Ovis aries: one gene and its partner. Each later gene encodes a partner of the first gene's protein in a complex. Links are inferred from orthologs where the notes say so. Each region holds a gene or a part of one and is shown in the gene's direction. Other genes may lie near its edges.

The links.
Region 2: the proteins of GRM5 (region 1) and HOMER1 are in contact, whole or in part, in a crystal structure (PDB 1DDV), measured with the Rattus norvegicus proteins. The link is inferred for Ovis aries from reciprocal best matches to the Homo sapiens genes GRM5 and HOMER1. Residues at the interface, in XP_006229721.1 of Rattus norvegicus: Thr1155, Pro1156, Pro1157, Phe1160; in NP_113895.1 of Rattus norvegicus: His12, Phe14, Trp24, Thr70, Ser71, Gln72, Lys73, Phe74, Gly89, Phe90.

What each region holds. Positions count from the first base shown.
Region 1 is NC_056074.1:6,724,158-6,727,971, forward strand, and holds part of GRM5 (metabotropic glutamate receptor 5), read left to right. Parts: intron 1-2,694; coding exon 2,695-3,529; 3' UTR 3,530-3,814. UniProt on the Homo sapiens protein: G-protein coupled receptor for glutamate. Ligand binding causes a conformation change that triggers signaling via guanine nucleotide-binding proteins (G proteins) and modulates the activity of down-stream effectors.
Region 2 is NC_056060.1:10,527,854-10,532,104, reverse strand, and holds the start of HOMER1 (homer protein homolog 1), read left to right. Parts: upstream 1-1,348; 5' UTR 1,349-1,490; coding exon 1,491-1,633; intron 1,634-4,251. UniProt on the Homo sapiens protein: Postsynaptic density scaffolding protein. Binds and cross-links cytoplasmic regions of GRM1, GRM5, ITPR1, DNM3, RYR1, RYR2, SHANK1 and SHANK3.

The sequences.
Region 1 (3,814 bases):
GAATTCTTGCGTGGAAAATCCCATGGACAGAGGAGCCTGGTGGGCTACAGTCCATGGGGTCGCAAAGAGTCGGACACGACTTCACTTTCACTTTCTATATTCCTACCCAACAAAAGCAGCCTGTGGGCAAGCGAGTGCCTCCGGAGGCGCATGCACAGTGCCCTAAGTGAGCTCAGCTGTTACATAACCATTATTTACAAAATGTAGTGAGAGGGTGGGGCGAGAGAGCCTGACCATCCCATCTTGGCTAATTTGCTCTTTCCCGACACTCGTTGGGACCATTTCCTTCTCACACATTCACCCGAAGGGTTTTCAACCCGCTCTCCTGGCTGGGAGCCCAGCTACCTGGCATTCTGGTGACTGTTACTGTTAGGGTTACGTTCCATTAAAACTGTGTGCTGGGGGCGAGAGCTTCCCTAGGGTAAAGCTTGGTAGAGTGAATCCAGCTACACTTCTAGCTTCTAGCCTGTGCTTTGCAGCAAAAGTGGCCTCAGCTACCCAAAAGACTTTGTTTCTTATCCTGCCAGCAGGAGAGAAACGGGGGTGAAACGGGGTTGCTGGGAACCGTGTTCCCAATCAAATCCCATACATCGTTTGGCCCATTTCTCCTGTGCCATGTTCCAGAAGTTAGTGGACACTTGGGAAGAGGGAAAGTGATGCACTGAAGACATAGAGGGTGGCAGGTCAGGTTAATGCAAAAATGTAAAAAAAAAAAAAACAACAAACCTGAAACTCCCTAGAAAGTTTTAGGTTAGCAGGGTCCCTTCTGTTACTGGGGATGCATAAAACCTCAATAGCTGGAAATAATGTCCACTGGGGCAGGGTTGGGGCGGGGATATCTCATATTCCAGAATTTTGAAGGGCACCAAGTGGCAAAATACAGGGTAGATTAAATGGACTGGGATTTCAGTGGAAAGAGGAAAAATAGGAAGGCCACACAGTGGAAAGGGACAGATGAAGACATGGGAAGCAGTGTGGCAAAGAGGCAGGAAGTATGCTTGTCATGGGGGCTGTAAAAACAGTGGTCTGTTATCAAGGGAGTGGTCATCTCAAGCAAGACAGGCTATCAAAGTTGCAGTAGGCAGTCCCAAGGCAGGTGGGCTCCAAACAGAATTCGGTCCCTTGCCTGGCAAAGGCCGGCCAGTCTGCCAGCCAGGAGGTCAAGGGAACAACAGGAACCCAGAGAAAAAGGATACCTTCTTGTTAAGAGTTTCTTAGTCTGGGAAACACCGACTGCACAATCACTTTAGGGAAGCAAAGTGCTTGTCAAATACGTGGATCCATGGAACCCAATTTAGACAATCAGAGTCTCTGGGGTCCCGGGTATAGGACAAGTACCACAGGTGAGTCCTATATGCTATCAAGTTTAAAAGCTACCAGCTGAGATAATCAAATTGGGTGGCTAAAGCCTTTGTTTAGAGACTACCGAGGGCTTTCTCTTGGTCCACAGCACCTAGAACAGAACTGTCTGGGCATAACAGAGCCCTAGTTACAGAGCTCTCACATTCCTTCCTGGGGGTAAATCACACCAGGATCTCTCCATATCACCTCCCTGAAGGCCAGGCCACATCCACTGAACATAAGTGAACTTCCTGATAGTCTGTGTTCTGAGAGGCAGCTGTCTCATTTTTTTAGAGGGAAGGAGGGTACAGGCCGTCTGTCTGTAAGTCTGAAGCATCAACTCATTAGAGGCTTTCTTCACCAGAGCTGATTTCAGTTTCCAAAGGGGAGACCAGAAAGGACTACTTGGGAAAGAAAGGCAGGAGAAAGGCTCCAAGAAACCATGTCAATCAGGCGCTACTCATCAAGACCCTAACTTGAACGTAGTGTGCCAGGTGCCAAGGGCAATAATACTGCAATGCTCCCTGGCAGAATTGTTATTCACTTTTAGGCCTAAAAATAAATGTGTGAGGAAAGTTTCTAGGAGGTAAAAAAGTTCTAATTATAAATCAGTGTATGTGTTCACTGAGTTTGTATTTTCCACCCCATAAGTCAGACTAAGTAAAATCGTGTTCCAAGTCAGGAGTTCTTACAGCAAACCCTAGTTAAATGCACCAACCACAGGCCTGCAGAATAAAAACTGAATTGAAACCACTATCTCCTTCCTGGTGACCCCCGACTCCTACCTCTACGGTCCCTCCTGATGATCAAGTTAAGGGGTGCTCCTAGTTCTAACGTTTCCTGTCAGAGGCTCCCAACGTTAGGAAGCTCGTGCTGTGTCCTGGGCATATCTACATACAACCACAATACCGCAAGCCCTTGCTTCTAGGTTTGCAACTTCACCAACTGCCCCACTCCCGGGTGGGCGGAACTGACATTACTGTTTAGTCTCTAAGTCTTCTTGGATGGTTTTTCCGAGCTGGTGGTCTGCAGCCCGCCAGGTTCCTCGGTCCATGGGATTTCCGGGGCAAGAATACTGGAGTGGGTTGCCATTTCCTCCTCCAGGGCTCCCATGAACAACCCCTTTAAGCTTCCTAGTATCCCCTTAGACATCCTTTCGCGGTTATGATGAACGGAAGGCCAGAGACGAGAGAGCTGCCTTGAACTCAAAGGCAGCAAAAAGCCCGCTCCCAGATCTCCTCCCCTGGTGTCCTTGGATGCCTCCTGTCCCCAGTCCGAGCCCTCCAGCCCCCCAGGCCCCCCCACCAGCACGGAGGAGCGCGCAGTCACCTCTCGTCTACCTTCTCTCCGCAGCTCCAACGGCAAGTCGGTGACTTGGGCGCAGAACGAGAAGAGCAGCCGCGGGCAGCACCTGTGGCAGAGGCTGTCGGTGCACATCAACAAGAAGGAGAACCCCAACCAGACGGCCGTCATCAAGCCCTTCCCCAAGAGCACGGAGGGCCGCGGCGCGGGGGGCGCGGGCGGCGGCGGGCCCGAGCCCCCGGACGCCGGCCCCAAGGCGCGCCCCGCCGCGGCCGAGGCCGAGGAGCGCCGCGCGGTGCCGCGCGCGCCGTCGCCCATCAGCACGCTGAGCCGCCCAGCGGGCGGCCTCCCCGACGACGAGGACGCGCGCTCGCTGCGCTCGGAGCCCGCCGCGCGCAGCAGCTCGTCGCAGGGCTCGCTGCTGGAGCAGATCAGCAGCGTGGTGACCCGCTTTACGGCCAACATCAGCGAGCTCAACTCCATGATGCTGGCCTCCCCGGGGACGCCCGGCGCGGGCGCGGCGCTCTGCTCGGCCTACCTGATCCCCACGGAGATGCAGCTGCCCGCCGCCGTGATGACCACGTTCGCCGAGATCCAGCCGCCGCCCGCCGCCGAGGGCCCGGGCGGCGCGGCCTCGCCGGCGGAGGGCGCCGCCCGGGAGCCTTCGCCCTCGGCGGCGGCGGCCGGGCCCGAGGCTGCGGGCGGCAAGGCGGACCTGGAGGAGCTGGTGGCGCTCACGCCGCCGTCCCCCTTCAGGGACTCGGTGGACTCGGGGAGCACCACCCCCAACTCGCCGGTGTCCGAGTCAGCCCTGTGTATCCCATCGTCTCCCAAGTACGACACGCTTATCATCAGAGATTACACCCAGAGCTCCTCGTCCTTGTGAATGTCCTTGGAAACCACGCCGGGGTCCCCCCCGCCCCAAGAAGCCGAGACCCTCCGGTGTCCCCACAGACAGCAAGGACAGGCCTGGGCGCCTGCTTAAGACCCCGAGGTGGAAGACATCGCGTACACCCGCAGTGGAAACGAGATCAACAGTGCTATCTACCATCCACCGACGAAGACACCAACCACAAACCTTTCGGCAGATTTTCTTCTAGTGGCCTTAGAAAACATGGGCTTTAAGAAACACCGCTTCTACTTTTGAGGGCTCACGAGGAGTTTGTTGAAC
Region 2 (4,251 bases), on another chromosome or scaffold:
ATTCATCCATACAAATTTACCTGTCAGTAACGAGAAACAAGCCTAAAGCCTGATACACTTGACACAGAGTCCCTCACAACAATGTTATGTTCTCAGGAAATTTTGGAGATGAGCCAAGAAGGCTGTTGCTGAGCATTGAAAAATCGAAGAAGGGACTGGTGTTAAGGCCCATCTGGGGTGGCAGGAAGATTGCCTTTCTCTGCTAACCAGCACCAGAGTCTGTCACCAGTGACAGGAGGGAAGGGCAGTAAGGAATCTGGTATAAAACACACGAGAAATTAGAGACTTGTGATCATGATTAGAAAATCAAATATTATTTTGCAATACCAAACTTTATAACAGAATCAACAGTATTAAATTTGCACTCCAAATCAGAAAAGAAACAAAACAGTGTAGGAGAAAGCTTTAGAAATGGAAGCAGACAGGAACCAAAGAGAAATAGATCTTTTTTTATACGTTTGCCTAAAACCAGTGGTGTTTGCTTTTAAACTTACTCACATCTTGTCCTTCGCTCACAATAGAAAAATCTTTCTTTCCTTCCAGAGATTGGAGAAGATTGCAGTAAAGGGCAAAATGTATGTGTGTCCTCTGGGATTAGACAGTGGAGACGATTGTAGTAGAGGGCAAAAGGTATGTGTGTCCTTTCGGGTTAGATCCTCCATTCAAAAATGACGGGACCTTAAAAATTATATGGCCTTCGCAACAAGTTTGTGCCTTAATTTCCTCCTCTGTAAAATAGGTATAACAATGGTGCTTTTTACGTGGGACTGAAGACTAAATGAGGCAATATGGAAAAAGGTTTTAGCAAAATGAGTATCATATATCAAGTGCTCAGTTAATCTTAGCTACTATTCTCATTCTGACAATAGCATTCAAGAAGCAGAAAGGAGCTACCAGTGTGCTATGCTACGCCTGCAAGTGGCTGTTGGTGACTCCTGGCTGCTCTGCCACGTTTCTCTCACACACACACATGTATAGGCTGCGCCGGGTATTCGTTGCTACCTGTGGCTTCCTCTAGTTGCAGGGAGTAGGGGCTACTCTTTGTCTTGCTGTGGAGTAAGGACTCTAGAGGGTGCAGGCTCAGTAGCTGCAAGACACCGGCTTCTCTAACTGCCTGAAGCAGGCTTAGTTGCCCCGTGGCTTGTGGGATCTTAGTTCCCCAATCAGGGATCGAACTTCGTCCCCTGCATCGGAAGGCCAATTCTTAACTATTAGACCACCGGGGAAGTCCCTTGTCCGTATTAAATTGTGTGCAGAGATAATGATGTAGTCTGGCAGTCCCACTGAGGTCTGTGTTATTAATGTGTCAAGGTCAGTGACAGGGCAGGACACAGTGCCCGGAAATCTCACTGGGCATTTTGCTTTCGTTACCTGCTAGGTACTCTTGCCTGGAAACTCCCATGGTCGGGGGGGAGCCTGCTGGGCTGCAGTCCATGGGGTTGCACAGAGTCAGACATGACTGAGCGACTTCACTTTCACTTTTCACTTTCATGCATTGGAGAAAGAAATGGCGACCCACTCCAGTGTTCTTGCCTGGAGAATCCCAGGGACGGGGAAGGGCTGCCGTCTATGGGATCGCACAGAGTCGAACACGACTGAAGCGACTTAGCAGCAGCAGCAGCAGCAGCAGCAGGTAAGTTTGTCAGAATTCTAATGCTGAGTTTTGCTTCTTTATGGCAGAGTTTCATTTTGATATGCTTGTGCTTTATTAGCTGACTTTAGAACGGTTTGGTTAATCTTCCTTCTCTCTGGTGGGAGGAAAATATATATATGGTGTGTGTGTGTGAGAGTTTAAGTGGCTTCAGGCTTACTTCCCATATTGGGAAACTTGCCCTCAGTACCAAGAGAGTCTATGAAACAGTCCTTCAGCATTTGTGCAGCAAGCAGAAAAGAGGTGGATTCCCTTCCCAGCTGACTCATTGATCATGGTTTCTGCTGAATGGATTCAACTCAACAAATTTGGAATCACTGGTCAGAGACCAAGGTGAAAGTCCTGGGTGTTCTTTCCTGGGACTTTTATCAAGGAAAATTCAGCCCCTTAGATAGAATAGCAGGTTGGTTTTGAACCAGTCATCAGCGACAGTAATTATCATCCCTGTTTTACTAAACTGAGGGGTCATGAGGTTAAGTAACTTCCCACACACACGTTACTCACACAGCAAGTCAAAGGCAGAGCCTGAGATCAAACTTTGGCAGTCTGGCACCTGAGTCTGTGCCTTTATTTCCCTCTTCCACCTGTCTGCAAGTTAGGAGGTGCCTTTTTATTTTGACCAACTTTTTCGATAGAACTTTCAAATATGCAGATTTAAAAGTCTCTTTTGTTGAATCAAAATGACTTACAATAATTGATTTTAATGCTAAGGTGATTTGTACTCGTAAAAATTTTTTGATTTATTATTAGTTCCTTCAAAATTATTATAGAATTATAATATATTTTATTTCGTGACTGAACAATGAGACAGATGGTAGGAGGCACCCTTTTCCGCCCCTTATCTTCCCGTTGTGCTCCTAGTCATCCCTAAAAACCCAGGCGTCCACTACTTCCTCTGCTACTCCTGCAACAATACAGGCACTCATAACTGCACTCATCACTCTGCGTTGCGATTATTTGAGTATCTTTTATGACCCCTGCTCAGCAGGACAGGATCGATATTTTTCTTCATGTGAGCACTTGTGTAATAAAGTCAACAAAGAACAAATGTTCACTGAACTGTATTTGAGGAAAACATTTCAATAGCTTTCTTTTATGTGAAGTGCCTTTTTTGGCTGATCAGGAAATTTTAATATGAGGGAAATTTCTGGAATTACATGAACACTAATTTTCTTATAAAATTTCTCTTGTTTGAAACACCGAGTGTGAAAAAATGTAGAGTAACTTACCTGCGTTTATTCTAAAGAACTGTAGTCTTTGCATCATGGCATATTTGTAACCCATTCTTCGAACACTAATAACCTTGTGGCTATTCATGCTTATTTACTGTTCACTCTAAAATCTTTTTGACTCAAAGTTTTTAAGAGTTACATGGGATCAACTCGAAATCAACAAATGTATCCTTGCTTTTTTATTTTGCTTTCTACACACTGTCATCCCTCATTATAATTCTATGAAGTGAATGTCACTGTACACAGTATAAAATGTTTTGCATATATGTAAACACCAGAACCTAGGAGTGCTGTGTCGTAGCACAATTATACAAGTAGAAGCAAATACATTTATGCAACATAATGTAAACAGTTCACTGTTTTTTTGCAAGAATAAAAGCAAAATAATTATGTTGAATAGTCTTTAATTAAAATTAGTTGAAAACAAGTATAGCTCTATTATATTATGTTGTAACTCACCTAGCAGTCAATTTCTTCAGCTTTTCAAATCCACCAATGTATGTAATTTTAGCTGTTAAAAGTGTTACTTATTTAGCTTGAATTAAAGCAAAACTTAAGCTTATGCTATCTATTGACTGGTTTCTTAAGTAACTGTATTTTAAATTAAAGTTTGAAGTTTATTTATGCCATTCTCAAATGATTAGATGTGATTTCATATGTTTAAATTATAAACATATTGGTGTTTACAATATTCTTTATTATAAGCAGTATGGATCCTGGATCTCAGATTTCCTAGGAGGCTTCTAGGAACTTGTGGTAAATACTTACTAGAGGATATGAGCTTTCATTTTCTATTTTAATCTTTATTCTTTTAGAAAGAGATATTATTTAATTCTCCTATATTTACATTTTCATATGATATTGCAGAAGAGACAGTGAATTTATGGAACCTAACTTCCAAATTCCAAAAGACATTTTATATTGTGAATCTTTGCCTATAATGAAAGTCTATTGAACCAGCTGAAGCAGTCACAGGATACCGAAAGAACAATTTCCTCTCTTATACTACATTTATAACTAGTTTTGAAGATTTCAAAGAGACAATCTAGAACCAAACTATTTTTGCAAATAGTCTTGAAGAAATTTTTCTCTCATGTGCATGCTTTCATGTGTAAAAGGAAACCATAACTTTTGTGAAATCATCTTGCTTTTCAAATGTATGTTTGTGTTTAAGTGTGTGGCTTGCCCAGTTTAAAAACCACAAGGGGAAAATTATTTAATGGCGTGCAACCACACAGACTTCACAGACTGAGATTTTCTTGTTTTGTGTGTCTGCATGAGATTTGTTTTGCATACTGCTAAATATCCAGAAAAATTTTAATAGCAATTATGGTTTTCTCTATATTCAGCCATCATCCAGGCATTTTA